Oryctolagus cuniculus: one gene and its partners. The protein of the gene in region 2 purifies or fractionates together with the protein of the main gene of each other region. This does not show direct contact. Links are inferred from orthologs where the notes say so. Each region holds a gene or a part of one and is shown on either strand. Other genes may lie near its edges.

The links. The genes of interacting proteins can lie anywhere in the genome.
Region 1: the proteins of IGF1R (region 2) and RACK1 purify together in Homo sapiens (affinity purification with western blotting; 4 studies listed by BioGRID, with this or other methods). This does not show direct contact. The link is inferred for Oryctolagus cuniculus from reciprocal best matches to the Homo sapiens genes IGF1R and RACK1.
Region 3: the proteins of IGF1R (region 2) and ARRB1 purify together in Homo sapiens (affinity purification with western blotting; 3 studies listed by BioGRID and IntAct, with this or other methods). This does not show direct contact. The link is inferred for Oryctolagus cuniculus from reciprocal best matches to the Homo sapiens genes IGF1R and ARRB1.

Annotation. Positions count from the first base shown.
Region 1 is NC_091445.1:34,930,815-34,935,240, forward strand, and holds part of RACK1 (small ribosomal subunit protein RACK1), read right to left. Parts: intron 4,131-4,426; coding exon 3,959-4,130; intron 3,112-3,958; exon of another isoform or gene 3,033-3,111; intron 2,921-3,032; coding exon 2,773-2,920; intron 2,559-2,772; coding exon 2,463-2,558; intron 2,207-2,462; coding exon 2,096-2,206; intron 1,032-2,095; coding exon 891-1,031; intron 393-890; coding exon 282-392; intron 1-281. UniProt on the Homo sapiens protein: Scaffolding protein involved in the recruitment, assembly and/or regulation of a variety of signaling molecules. Interacts with a wide variety of proteins and plays a role in many cellular processes.
Region 2 is NC_091443.1:8,707,723-8,712,887, reverse strand, and holds the start of IGF1R (insulin-like growth factor 1 receptor), read left to right. Parts: upstream 1-1,695; 5' UTR 1,696-2,006; coding exon 2,007-2,100; intron 2,101-5,165. UniProt on the Homo sapiens protein: Receptor tyrosine kinase which mediates actions of insulin-like growth factor 1 (IGF1). Binds IGF1 with high affinity and IGF2 and insulin (INS) with a lower affinity. The activated IGF1R is involved in cell growth and survival control.
Region 3 is NC_091432.1:66,410,729-66,415,154, reverse strand, and holds part of ARRB1 (beta-arrestin-1), read left to right. Parts: intron 1-26; coding exon 27-110; intron 111-1,523; coding exon 1,524-1,547; intron 1,548-2,963; coding exon 2,964-3,034; intron 3,035-3,646; coding exon 3,647-3,698; intron 3,699-3,852; coding exon of another isoform or gene 3,853-3,874; exon of another isoform or gene 3,875-4,426. UniProt on the Homo sapiens protein: Functions in regulating agonist-mediated G-protein coupled receptor (GPCR) signaling by mediating both receptor desensitization and resensitization processes.

The DNA of each region.
Region 1 (4,426 bases), on a different chromosome or scaffold from region 2:
CCTTAATTCTAATGACCAGACTGTAGCTGGTGGCTGTTATTCTTAGAGGAAGAAACAGCTGTTGATAAGAATACAATCATCTTAAAACTGATCAAATTAGTATCAGTGCATAAAAATGAAGGCTAATCACTACCTCCACATCACAGTTGAAAGGAACATGCATTCCACATTTCTTTCTTGATCATCCAAGCCATTTTAAAAAAATCACTTTCCTTTATGTCAAAAATAGCAGTATAGAGAAGAAATGTTGGAAGGTGAGTTAAGTGAGAAGTCAGACTTACCTGGCCATCAGCAGACCAGGCCAAAGATGTACACTGGGGTGGCTCTGCCTTGCTGCTGGTACTAATAACTTCTTGCTTCAGTTCATCTACAATGATCTTGCCTTCTAAGTCCTGAGAAATAGGTCAAAACCAGGGTGAGGATACTGTTAATACATTTATACCAGTGATACTTTTTAAGAAACTCAGTAACAGAGGTCCCCTCTCAAAAGCCCCTTTTTATAAATAGAGTCTCAACAGGATGATTTTGCCCAAGGGGACATGTGGCATTGCCTACAAGCATTTTCAGTTGCAACTACTAGGTATGGAAGAGGTTACATGGCCTGTTACCAACATCTTGTGGATAGATGTCAGGGATGCTAACACTAAACAGACCCACTACACAATTACACAGACCAAAAAGCCATTATGCAGAGGCTGCGTATTCTGCCATACATAATCACCCCTTTCAGTAAGCAAATATTCCCCTCCATTAATAATCCCAATCCAGGGAACTTTTCTAGGTCTCCACCAACAGCTTGATGGTTAGCATTTGTTTAGTATGTGGGACTCCCAGCATCAAACCCATATGGCATGTTAAGTCACATTGCCAGGATTCGATCTCATGCTTACCCAGATCTTGATGCTAGGGCCTGTGGCAGCACAGAGCCAGTAGCGGTTGGGGCTAAAGCACAGAGCATTGATGATGTCTCCTCCATCCAAAGTATAAAGGTGTTTGCCTTCATTGAGATCCCATAGCATGGCCTGCCCGTCCTGCAGATAGGGAAGGTGAGTCAGCAGCACAATGTAACCTCTCCCAGATGTCAATCCCACCCACCTCAGGATTTTGTCATCAATGTGCTTTTAAAGATTTTAGTCATCTGAAAGGCAGAATGATGGAGAGGAGAATAGATAGATCTTCTATTTGCTGGTTCACTCCCCAAATACTACTAACAATTGTAGCTAGGTCAGGCCAAAGGCCAGGAACATGACAGGGCTCCCACATGGATGGCAGGGATGTAACTACTTGAACCATTATCTGCTGCCTCCCAGGATGTGTCTCAGAAGGTAGCTGAGACTTGAACTAGGTACTCCAATATGAGATGTGGGCATCTCAAAGCAGCAGCTTAATGGGCCGTGCCACAAAACTCTCTTGCCCATCAGATCCTTCAGTACCCTGGCTTTCTTGAAAGCTACTGACTCTACCAATATTTATATCTACAGGCTTTTCCTTTAACAGAGGACATCAATAGCCCCATAAACTTTCTGATGGGTTATCAAAAAAATCACTATGATCATTTCCAAACAGGATCCATCAATTGCTTCAAGAAACTTTACAGAGAAAACATTTTTTTTTTTCCTTTGAACAGTATGTCTCACCCATGTAATTTTCAGTAAGTGACCTTTGGAAACATACTCTTGAATAACCTGGCTAATACTTAGTTTATAGTTTATGTCGAAGACCCAAGGTATTCTTTTTTTTTTTTTTTTTTTTGACAGGCAGAGTGGACAGTGAGAGAGAGAGAAACAGACAGAAAGGTCTTCCTTTTGCCGTTGGTTCACCCTCCAATGGCCAGTGCATGGCGCTGATCTGAAGCCAGGAGCCAGGTGCTTCTCCTGGTCTCCCATGGGGTGCAGGGCCCAAGCACTTGGGCCATCCTCCACTGCACTCCCGGGCCAGAGCAGAGAGCTGGCCTGGAAGAGGCAACTGGGACAGAATCCCGAGCCCCGACCGGGGCCACAAGGCGGAGGATTAGCTTACTGAGCCACGGCGCCGGCCCCAAGGTATTCTTTCTATGAGACTGTCCCCCTGGTTGAGACTCCTGGCCCCCAAATACCTTGCCTCCAGAAGCACAAAGGGATCCATCTGGAGACACTGTCACAGTGTTCAGATAGCCAGTGTGGCCAATATGGTTAGTCTTCAGCTTGCAGTTAGCCAGATTCCATACCTGTGTAAATGGGTGGGGTTACAGGTGAACAATTTAGCTCGTATCAGCCAGGACTGAGAAGAGTCAAGCCCAGCAAAAGGCTTGGCACCTTGTTTAAAAGCTTTTAAGGGATATCAATTAGCTATTTAAGACCAACTGTCAAAAACCAATGGTCTGTACTGAGTAAATCCAACAAGAGGAAAAGTCAATTGAAGGAATCCACAATGCCTAAGGGGTTCTGGCTTGTACAAGCCCTCTATGCCAGCTCAAAACTCACCTTGACTAGCTTGTCCCAGCCACAGGAGACAATGATAGGATTGCTGCTGTTGGGCGAGAAGCGGACACAAGATACCCACTCTGAATGGCTCTCATCCTGCAGAGAATGGAAAGGAAGTAAGAGAAAACATTTCTATCTTAAACTATAGAACTCCATCCCTGATCTCGGTGGAATGGATATTGGCAGTACTGTGTTCACATCTCCTAACTGAACCATGAAGAACAGAATCTCTTTAGTCAACACATAAGGCAAAGGTTAAAAGAAAGGGTGCATGGGAACCTTGAACATGTGTTTGCTGCCTTCACTTTACCTGGACAGTGTATTTGCATACACCCAGAGTATTCCATAACTTGATGGTTTTATCTCGAGATCCAGAGACAATCTGACGGTTATCAGAGGAGAAGGCAACACTCAGTACATCCTTGGTATGGCCTACAAATCGTCTTGTGGTGGTGCCCCTGAGAAAGACAGCTCTGTCACTCTAGACAAACTTTACCAACATTTTTCTGGCATTCGCCCCATCCCGGTGGACTGCATCACTAACAAGTCTTTTCCGAGTTTATGTCAGAGAATCCCTTCAGAATTGCAGGACATGTCCTCACTCCCACATGGGGATTGGCTGACAATGTCATCTGTCATCACCAGGATCCTCCATTATACTTGCCAACTGCTTATCTAGAACAGAAATTCAAGATAAAACTTGTTCCAACCGCTGTCTACTCCAAATTGCTACACCTATAAAAACATTCAACCAGGCTGGCGCCACGGGTTCTAGTCGCGGTTGGGGCGCTGCATTCTGTCCTGGTTGCTCCTCTTCCAGTCCAGCTCTCTGCTGTGGCCCGGGAAGGCAGTGGAGGATGGCCCAGGTCCTTGGGCCCTGCACCCCCATGGGAGACCAGAAGGAAGCACCTGGCTCCTGGCTTCCAATTGGCACAGTGCACCAGCTGCAGTGGCCACTTGGGGGGTGACCAATGGAAAAAGGAACACCTTTCTCAAAAATTCAACCAGACTACTTCTCAGCAACCATAATTAAATCAAAGGGCCCCCTGAGGGGCCAGTGCTGTGACACACTGCCAGCATCCCATGTGGGCACTGGTTCTAGTCCCAGGGTATCCTCTTGCAATCCAGCTCTTTGCTGTGGCCAGGGAAAGCCACAGAAGATGGTCCAAGTGCTTGGACCCCTGCACCCACATGGGAGACCAGGAAGAAGCTCCTGGCTTTGGACAGGCGCAGCTCTGACCACTGCAGCCATTTGGGGGCTGAACCAATGGAAGAAAGACCTTTCTTTGTCCCTCCCTCTCACTGTCTCTAACTCTCTCAAATAAATAAATCTTAGAAAAAAAAAAATTAAGAGGGGGCCCGAATAACTATCTTCTGTAGGTAGTTTTTACTTTATACTTCAACTTTCTCCTGGAAGATAACCTCCCAATTGCCATCTACCTCATTTCTTCCCAGCTTTTCCCCAAGATCCCACAGCTAGGTGAGCAGCTACTTGCGTTGTGAGATCCCAGAGGCGAAGGGTTCCGTCCCAGGACCCTGAGAGGGCAAACTGGCCATCTGAAGATATGACCACATCACTAACGAAGTGGGAGTGACCCCGAAGAGCTCGCTGCGGGATGCCATAGTTGGTCTCATCCCTAGTCAGCTTCCACATGATGATGGTCTTGTCTAAAGAAAGACAAAAGGGAAACTGGTGAGGAACTTTGCAGCCCACTTGCTGACCCTATTGAAAATTTAAGATGTTACAAAATCATATGTAGGTTAACACTTAAAAAGACACTTCGAGAGGAAACAAACTGTAGGTTATTTGCCAGGGCCCAGTGGCCAACAGTTCCAAAAAACAGGCAGGTGGGCCTAAACTGTAGCACGAAAATCTAACCCAGGTGTCAGAGAATACGGTTACCCCTTCTTGAGATTCAAACTAATTCAACATATATTTTGTATCTTGCCAGAATGCTTGAGAA
Region 2 (5,165 bases):
GGGTGCGTCTCTGCAGTGGCTCCGATCCCGAGCGGCAGGACCCGCGGCGGGACCCGGGTCGACGCCCCCCTCTGCGCTCCTCTGGGCCCCTCGGACACGCCCCCCCACTCCGGGTCCCGCAGCCCCGCACCGTGCACGCACCACTGCCGCTCCCCGCAGCCGCCCACGTGGTGGAGCTCAAGCCGCGCGAGGCCTGGGGGGCGCGCTCCAGGCGCGCCGCGGGTCGGGGAGGCCCCCGCCAGGGCGACCCCGCGCGGCCGGCCCCCAGCCCGGGCCCCCGCGTTTCCTCCCCCGAAGGGAGGGAGGCAGCAGCGCGCGGGCTGTCCCTGCCTGGCGCCCGCCGCGCCCTCTGGCGGCCGCCGCGGCCACGCGTTCTGGGCACGCGGGGCTGCCAAGCTGGACCCCCCTTTCCAGGGCTCGGGGTCTTCGGCCCGCAGCGGGCAGTGTCCACCCTCCACCACCCCGTGCCCTAGGCTGAGCCTCGCGAGCCGCGCCCCGGAGCTCCGGGCTTTCCTGCGCGACGCTGTGGGCGCCGCCGCCGTGCGTGGCAAGTGCGGGGTGTCAGAGCCCAGTGGCTCCCCTGGCTCCCAGGTGTGCCCCTCCCGTCGCGCGCGGGGCCCCCCGGCATGCTGCGAAAAAATGCCGCATGCACGCACTTATTTATTTATTTTGCAACAGCTGCACGGAACAATGAGGCTTTTCAAGAACCGGGGGGCGCGCTCTCCAGCCGCGCCGTTGTTTTTCCACGAACCCCGCCGGGCTCCGCGAAACCCTCCCCAGTCCGGCCCCGCCCGACCCCTCCGCGGGCCCCGCACGGGCGCCGGGGGCATTGTTTTTGGAGTCCTGCGGGAGGGAGGCGCGTGCGGGGCGGCCAGCGCAGTGCGGGTGGGGGCGGGCGCGCGCCTGAGTGCGCGAGGGAGCCGGCGCGGGCGGGGGCGCGGCAGGGGCGGTGCCTTGCAGCCTCGCGCCCCACGCCCGGGCTCCGCTCCGCACGTCCCGGGGATCCCGGACTCCGGCTCTTGGCGCGCGCCGGCCTGGGCCCGGCCCTTGGCGCGGCGCGGCTGCGGCGGCGGCCGCTCGGGGGTGCGCGCGGGCACGTGTGCGCGGCCCCGAGGCGCGCGCGAGCCCCCAGTGTGTGGCGGCGGCGGCGGCGGCGGCGCGGCGAGGCTGGGGTTCTTGTTTACCAGCGTTAACTCCGCTGAGCGGAAAAAAAAGGGAAAAAGCCCGAGGAGGAGGGAGCGCACCCGGTGAACTCGAGACGGGCGAGCGAGCGACGGGGACGCCGCCGGCGAGCCTGCTCGCGGCCGGCTCCCCGGGACCCCGGCCCTCCACGCCCCTCGCGCGCGGGGCAGCCCCGCGGGCGTCGCGGCCTTGACCTTCAGCGAGCCGGAGCCCCCGCGCGCGGAGCCCGGGCGGCTGCGGGGAGCGGAGCGCGGCGCGGCCGGCCCGCCGCTTTGTGTGCGTCCTGGATTTGGGAAGGAGCTGGCGGCGGCGGCTGCGCTGAGGGCGGCGGCGCGGTGAGCGCAGCCCGAGCGGGAGGAGGAGGGGGGGGGAGCCGCTCATTCATTTTTACTCCGCATTTGCGCCCCTCGCCGGCCTCCCCCGCCACCGCGACTTGGGAGCGAGCTTGGCACCGCGACGCGCCCTCCCTCGCGGGGCCCCAGGCGCGGAGCCACCTCCCCTCCTCGGGGGTCGGGCTTGTTTTTCCTCTCCTGGACGCACTCGGGCTTTGCCTCTTTTCTGGGCAGTGACCCCCACACACACCTCTTGCCTCTCTGGATTTGAAAATGGAGGCCGACGACGCCGACAGCCCTCCCCAGAGCGCCTTGGGTTCCCCACTCTGCCGAGTCCTGGGCTGCGGCTGCTGACGCCGAGGGGTCTCCCGCCCCGTCTGCGCTGCCTTCGGACCGTTCTTCCTTCGCTCTTGGCTTTGGAGCGAAGACTGCTTTTGAACCCCCCCCCCCTTTTTTTTTTGAGAAAGGGGACTTTCGTTCCAAATCAAAGGAATGAAGTCTGGCTCCGGAGGAGGGTCCCGGACCTCGGCGTGGGGGCTCCTGTTTCTCTCCGCCGCGCTCTCGGTCTGGCCGACGAGTGGAGAAAGTGAGTATGCGCCCGCCGCCCGCGGCCACTGCGGGAACTTTTCTCCGAGGGCCTGCGCCCTGTTTGCGAAACCGGAGTTGCCACCGTCGCAGCTGTCGGGCCCCCGGCTCGGGCGCGCGGGGCGGAGGGCGGACCCGGGCCCGAAGCCTTTGGGTGTGGAGCCCACCGGGCGCATCCCGCGCGGGCAGGGGCTGCGGGGCTTTCTAGTTCGTAGTCCCAAGAGCCCAGCCCGGAGGCCAGGTGGGTGGGCCGTGCTCACTCCGGGCGGCAGGGGCCCGCCCGGGCTCGGGGACTCCGCAGGGAAGTTGGGGCCCGACGCCCTGCTCTCGCCCCGCACGGGACGGCGACTCCCGCGGGCGCGCAGACGGCCCGCACGGCACTGAGGCCGCGCCACGCCTGCCTCTGGGGCCGCCAGGGTGCTGGGAGCGGGGAGCCCTCGGCCCGCCATCGCGAGTTGCCCTCGAGGGCGTCGTGTCCCGCGCAGCCGCCCCGCAGCCGCCGGACACTTTGGCAAACATCCAGGCGCGGCCTCCAGCCGCCTAGTGTGCCTTTGCCCCTCGGGCGACTTCGGGCTCGGGGCGCGCTGCGTTCCTTTGGCCCGTCCCCCGCCCCTGGCGTCCCGGAGATGCTGGAGCGCCCCTCGGGCGGCCCCTGGGCGAGTGCTAGGCCCGGGGCCTCCGTCAGCCTAGTCCTTCCGGGAGCGCGTGTGGGGCCCCAGGACCGTCTCCAGATTCTGTCTGGCCCGAGGGCGCCTTTGCCGCCCCGGGGATTGCGGGGAGGGAGGGGGGCCTGTGATCGGGCAGCGCCCGGGAGTGCGGGAGCGCGTGTGTGGCCGGAGCCGACGTGCGTTTCCACACACGTGCTCGCTCGCTGTCGCCGCGGACTCCCAACCCGGGCCCCGCTGCGCGCGTGGCGCGCGGAGGTTGACGGAGCGCGGGACCTGCGGCGGGGGTTTGCGTGCGAGCGCGGAGCCCTGGCACGCGTTTGGCTGCGACCAGTGTTGCGTGGCACCGCCTCGACCGCCCCGCGCTTCCTTTGTGCAGTTAATAAGCGGTGTCGCCCCACGCGCGCTGTCGCTTGCCATCTGATGGCTTTTGTTTTGGAGGCGTCGGGGGTGCGGGGAGCGAGCGCACCCACGGAGTGTGCAGGCAGGGCCGGGGCGGCGCGGTTATTCTCGGAAGGACCCGAGGTGGCTCCCGGGGACTTCAGGGATGGTAGGATAAGGTGAACGCGCAGGAAGGTTGAAAAGCAGTCGCGGGGCTGGGGCTGGAAACGGCGAGGGCGTTGGTGAGTAATGGTTGCCGCGGGTATGCAGGTGGTGCCTATTAACTGAAAAATCACGACTGAGCGGGGCGGGGGGCCGCCTGGCCCATCACGGGGAGGTTCGGAGAAGCCGTTTCCATCAGCAAGCCCCACTTAGACGTCTCATCGGCGGCGAGCGCGTGATGCGGGGAGGCGCAGATCCTTACGGAATTAGCGTGTTTACTGCGTGGAGGGAGGCGCAGACCCGGGCTCTCCTGCTCTTTGTTTTCCAAACTTTGAGCGCGCGGGATTGGACGGACGGGTTCCTGCTGCCCCCTCCTGAGGCGCGGGGGTGGTGTTTGGGGGACTGGGCGGGGGGGGGGGGGGGCTCTTGGCCAGGACAGCCGAGTGCAGCGTGGAGGACCCCAGAGAGCGAATCCATTTTGTGGCGGCGTGGTGTCGCACCGCGCTGTTTGCTCTCCCTTTCTTACTGACTGTTAGTGAGTTCTGAAATCTAGAACTGCAGCGTGGCCTTGCTTCTGGCCAGGACTCGGAGCCCTTCTCGCGGGGAGTGGTTTTTGGCCAGGGCGCTTTTTCTTGAGAACACAAAGGGGAGGCAGAAAGTCTGTCGATGTAGGTTTTTAAAACCGCGATGCCAAGACGGACCGCTCTTCCCCGGGGGTCTCTGAGGTTGTGAGTTCCTTAGAACCCGACGATGGCCAGGAGGCGCCCTGATCCTCCTGAGGTTTGCTCAAGTCCAGCTCAGTGCCGGCCCCACCCGCTTGCTGCAGTTTTGAGGGCTACAAGAAAATGAGTTCAGTTTTTTTAAAACCCGAAAGGCTCCGGACCACGGGAGAGAGAAGCCAGCCGGGTCCTAGCCGGGAAGGGTGTTCTGGGGGCGGCTGTGAGCGCCGTTATAGGGGTTGGTTCGGTTCCAGGTGCCCTGCCAGCACACTGAGTTTTTTAGCGTTTCTTCTTTGAGCATGACAACTCTAGGGAGAGAGTTTTAGAAAATTTTGAGTTTTTTTTTTTTTTTTTTTGTGGGGGGAGAAAGATGTGGGCATGTTTGTCTCACTATCATAGGAGCAGGGCATTTAAATAAAGGAGATAAAGGAGGTTTGGAAGTTATACGTGGCACCTAAACGTTCCGATGACTGTTTTTTTAAAACAGCCAACATGCACCTTAAAGTTGCCTTGGCCATCTCCGTGGAAGGATTGTCATCTTTTTGCCCCCGGCACAGGAATATCCTGTTGTTAGACAAGTGTCCATTTGTGACAGGTCACTGTTTCAAAGGACAACCCAGAATAAGAAGTTTTGAAAGAGCCCAGTTAGCAAACTCTAGTTCCCACCCTTTGGAGGGCAATAGCAGGTAAAAGGTGTTTTTGTAGAGGGCTGGTGTGTGGCTGGGATTTGGAGTTTCAGAGGGCATGTGCCTGATCTGTCCGAAGGGATTAGAAAAGCCCCACTCTCAGAAACTCAGTAAGGTTGATTAGATTACCTTAGACACGGCGTGAAGCAAGAGAGGTCTGTCACCAAGATCACCTGTTGTGCGATCCCACTTGTATGAAATGTCCAGAGCAAGCAGATCTGTGGAGGAAGTGGATGAGTGGTTGCCGGGGCCATCGGGGCGACTGCTGGTGGGTCCAAGGTTTTTTTTGGGGGGTGATGGTTGCACAACTCTGAGTATACCAAAAACCGTTGAATTGTGCACATTAACTCAGCGATCTTTATGGTAATAGAATTCTATCTCAATAAATCTGTCCTTTTTTAAAAAAATGTTAAGGTTGAAAAGAGTGCACTGAGACATAAATAGATTAAATAT
Region 3 (4,426 bases), on a different chromosome or scaffold from region 2:
CAGCCAGCTTCCCCTGTCGCCCACAGGATGCGGGAAGGGGCCAACCGCGAGATCCTGGGCATCATCGTCTCCTACAAAGTGAAAGTCAAGCTGGTGGTGTCACGGGGCGGGTGAGTGCGGGAGCTGAGCCTGAGGGCACCCAGGGGCCGTCCGCGCCCACAGCCCCCGCCCCCCTCCCCTGCCTTCCGGTCCATCTTCTCGTTCGCAGCAGGATTGGGCACGAGGCTTCCTGTCCCTTCTCTTCCTCCTCCCCATCCTCACCCTCCTCTTTGTGTCTGGAGCGTGCACTGAGGGTCGGCCAGGGCCCCAGGGGAGGACATCCATGCTGGGGGTCCCGGGGGGACTGAGCCCCTCACCCACCTTGCAGTGCAGCACCCACCCCACTCCCGCTGGGGACATAGCCCAAGGGACTCAGGCAGATTGGGGGTTTGCTGGCTGGCCTGGCTTTCCCGTTTTACAGGGCAGGAAGCTGAGGCCCACAGTTTGCCACCCCCATGAAGGTCAGGGTGCGGCCTGGGTGTCGGGGTCACAGCCGGGGACCAGGTGCTTCCTTGCCCCGAGCAGAGTTCGTCAGTGGGGACTCAGAGCAGCCCTCCCCTCTCCCCACGTCCTGGACGGACGTGTTATACACCGGAACCGGGATTTCTCACGGGTCAGAGAACTTGTTCTGACTTAGTTTAGGAGTGTCTGTAGCGAGGTTGAACAGCCGTGTAGGGGCAGGTGTGCAGCGGGTTGAGGATGCCCGTGCCACAGCACCTGCGTTTGAGGCCTGGCGCTGGTTTCCTGCTGATGGGGACCCTGGGAGGCGGCGGTGTGGCTCAGAGAGCTGGCTTCCTGCCACTCACACAGGCAGCCTGGATTGGGTTCCTGGCTCCTGGCTTCGGCTGCCCTCGCTGTTGCAGTTCAGTGGGGAGCGAACCAGCGGATGGGAGTTTTCTCTGTGTCTCTGCCTCCCGGATAAATGAATAAAAGCTTAAAAGAGAAAAGAAAAGCTAAATCCATTAGACATGGCGTCTCCTGTGCAGTGCTCCTGGTGAACCACAGGCAGGGCAGGCAGCACTGGAGTGGGTTTTTTTTTTTTTTGCAGGGGGAGGGAGGAGATCTTCCACCCCCTGTTCACTCTCCAAATGGCATCAACAGCCAGCTCTGGGCCAGGCTGAAGCCAGGAGCCTGGAACTCTATCCGGTCTCCCACATTACTTGGGCCATCACCTGCTGCCTCCCAGGCGTGTTAGCACGGAGCTGGGCGGGACTCAGACCTGTGCCTCCGGTGTGGGATGTCGCATCGCAGGCAGCGGCTTGGCGCCCTGTGCCACCGTGGCGGCCCCGGAGCTCACGTGTGCACCTGCTTTCCGAAGGAAAGGGCCTGCTGAGCTTGGCAGTGCGCCCCCAGGGGAGGGGGGCGTGTATGTCCCAGGGTCTGCTCTGTCTGAGGGGCAGCAGAGGTGGTGAATGAATGTGCTTTCTGTTTTTTCCTCTCTCAACTCTCCTGACCACTCCTCCTGCCTCCTCTGACCCACCCAGCCTGCTGGGAGATCTTGCGTCCAGGTAATGTCCCTCGCTTTGGCCTGGTTGATTACCTTCCTGCAGGGCCCAGATACCCCATGGAGCAGGGGCATGGGGCGCTGGGTTGGAAGGACCCTTAGTGGCCGTTTCAGATGGCCAAGGTCAGGTGCGTGCTGATGCCAGAATGCTCTCGAGAAAGACACAGTATCTACTCAGGAAGCTGCGCCCTGCTAGTCCTCAGCTCTCGCCAGCAGCAAATCACTGAATTCCCGAGCTACTGGATTACAGGGTATTTAGAAGTGCAGGCTTTGTGACTTCCCGACTTGCCCGCTGGTGAGCCAAGGAGAGGCCCTTCGGGGAGCCACATTTGTGCATGAGATGGCCTGGGTGCCAGCCGGATAGACCCACCCTCCTAAGATGCACGCCCTGGCTTCTCCCTGGCCAAGCATCCCTGGCCAAGCATCCCAAGAATACTTAGTCCAGTGTGAGAGGAAAGTCATTCAGCTCTGTTCGGTTGAGTTCAGCAGAGGTTTCCGGACCCCAGTGCTGTGCCAGTGAGTGGCGGGGCTGGCGGGATCCACTCTCAGCTCAGCCTACGCCCCTGACTGCTCCACTCCCCAGCCGGACCCTGGAGGTGCCCATGGGTCAGGGTCGGGATGGAGATCCCAGGGTGAAGGGTGTTGCTCCAAGATGGCTTCAGGCCGCTGCTGTCACACAGTGCTGAAGGGTGTGGCCCTGGAGCCAGAATCCTCTGTCACTCCCCATGAATAGCTGTGTAGCCTTGGGCAGGATGCTTTCATCTCCTTGTGCCTCAGTTTCTCCACCCATACATTGGGGGCAATGATACAGTTGTTGTGAGGATTCAACGAGTTGCTTTATGGAAAGTGCCCAGGAGAGTCCTTGGCCGAGTCAGTGCCGTGGAAATCTCTGCCCTCCCTGTCCTGCCCCGCAGGGACCCGGCAGAGAAGGTCAAGTCCAAAGCCCTGGCCGGTGGCTGATGCCTCCCATTCACCACAAACCTGTGTGGACAGCCTTGGGCCCTGGGTCCCAGCTGACCCGACACTGGTAAAATGTACCTCTAGCCGTGCCTCCTGCAGGTGGCAGGTATCCAGGGTCAGCTGGGCACTGTTTTAGGTGCTGGGAGGGGTGGGCACACTCCCAGCCAGGAGTTGGGAAGGGCCGAGGTGGCTGTGGCCGTCTGAGATGGGCGGGGCTCAGGGCACCTGCAGGGCCCCCAGTGGCCATGGTGTGCACTGGCCTGGGCAGTCGTGCCCCCGTGTCCGGGGGCCCTGATCCAGGAAGGGGAAGTTCTGTTTCCATCAGGGACAGGGGAGGAGGTCTCCTACATTCCTCCCCTAGAAAGATCTCCATCTTGGAGAGTGCAGAGTGAGGGCCAGAGAGCCCTCCGCAGCCCTCCCGCTGAGGCCTGGGCTCAGCAGGCCTGGCTCTCTGTTTCAGTGACGTGGCCGTGGAGCTGCCCTTCACCCTGATGCACCCCAAGCCCAAAGAGGAGCCCCCACATCGGGAAGGTGAGCAGGACTGGGAGGGTCCTTGCCGTGAGGGTTTCAGGGGGCCCACTCCCTCCTCCCCTGCCTGCCGCACCTCTCCCTCCAGGTCAGCCTCAGCCTGGTGCACCCTCTCCCCAGCTCCCCAGGATCTCCCGTGGGTCCCACAACTCCCGTCTGCCGTGGGCCCCAGTGGGACACAGCTGGCCCTCACTGTCTTCTCCGTGGGGGAGCAAGGCCTGGGCTGGGTCCTGTGCGCACTAGGGGGAAGGGCTGCGTGGACGAGAGCCCCCCCACCCCCAGCATACCATTCCTGGAGGCGCCCGATTGTTCATTGATATTAACTCCATTTTGAAACACAGCTCAAGTTCAGCGAGGTCAGAGTTAGTGGGAGGTTCGCATGCTAGGCAGTGCACTGAAGTGAGCTGGAGCCAGTACCCCGAGGTTGCCCTGCTCCTGTGGCCACTCAGGGCCCTTCCATGGCCTTAGATGATTGGCAGGCCCCCTTTTCCACGTTCCCCTTCTTCCCTGACCCTCCCCTACTGAGCCTGGCAGTCCCGGGGTGGAGGGCTGTGCCCACTCACCTCCATGTCTCCCCACGCACTAACCCCTGGGCGCCCCCTGCCCTGTGTTCAGTTCCAGAGAACGAGACGCCGGTAGATACCAATCTCATAGAACTTGACACAAAGTAAGCGGAACCCTGCCTGCTGGGGTCTGGGGGGTTGCGGGGCAGGGCGGGGCCGGGGGGGGGCGGAGAGGTCATTTGCATATACGCTTATTAACCCTGAGGAGCAGGTGGTCTAACCCCATCAGCTGAGAGCCGCCTCTGCTCGCCTCCTCAGCAACCCGCTTGCCTGCATGTGACTTGAAGGACCCTCGTGCCTGTTCCTCTTCCTCCTGCCTTGGTGGGGTTTGTCTTCCTTCCTTGTCCTTGCACGTCCGTCCACCCGTCCGTCCGTCCGTCCGTCCACAGCGCCTGCGCCTGCTCGTCTCACACAGGGCTGGCTCGGGGCCCCGCCCACACCCCACCCCACCAATGGAATCAGGCTGCGGGGCGGGCCAGGGTCTGGGACTGGAGGACTGACCCATGGGGTGTGCCATGTGGTCCCGGACAGCGAGAACCACCCCCAGGTGGTTTTCTCCCTCCAGCTCCTGTCCCCCAGGAGGATTCTGGCATGTGGGGTGTCCAGTCTCCCCACCGGGATGCCCCACATGTTGGCGGCAGGATGTGGGGCAGGGAGCTTTGGTGGCTCCCGTGGGGTCCCGAGTAGACAGATTTTAGGGTAGGAGAGAGCCTGCTTTCATAGATGTGGCCTTTAGCCCTGCAGCCCCAGTCAGGCCTCCCCCTCCCACGCCCCGCGCCAGCTCTGGATGGCTCAGGATGGACTGTGAGCCTGCCGCAAGCCCTTTGAGGCT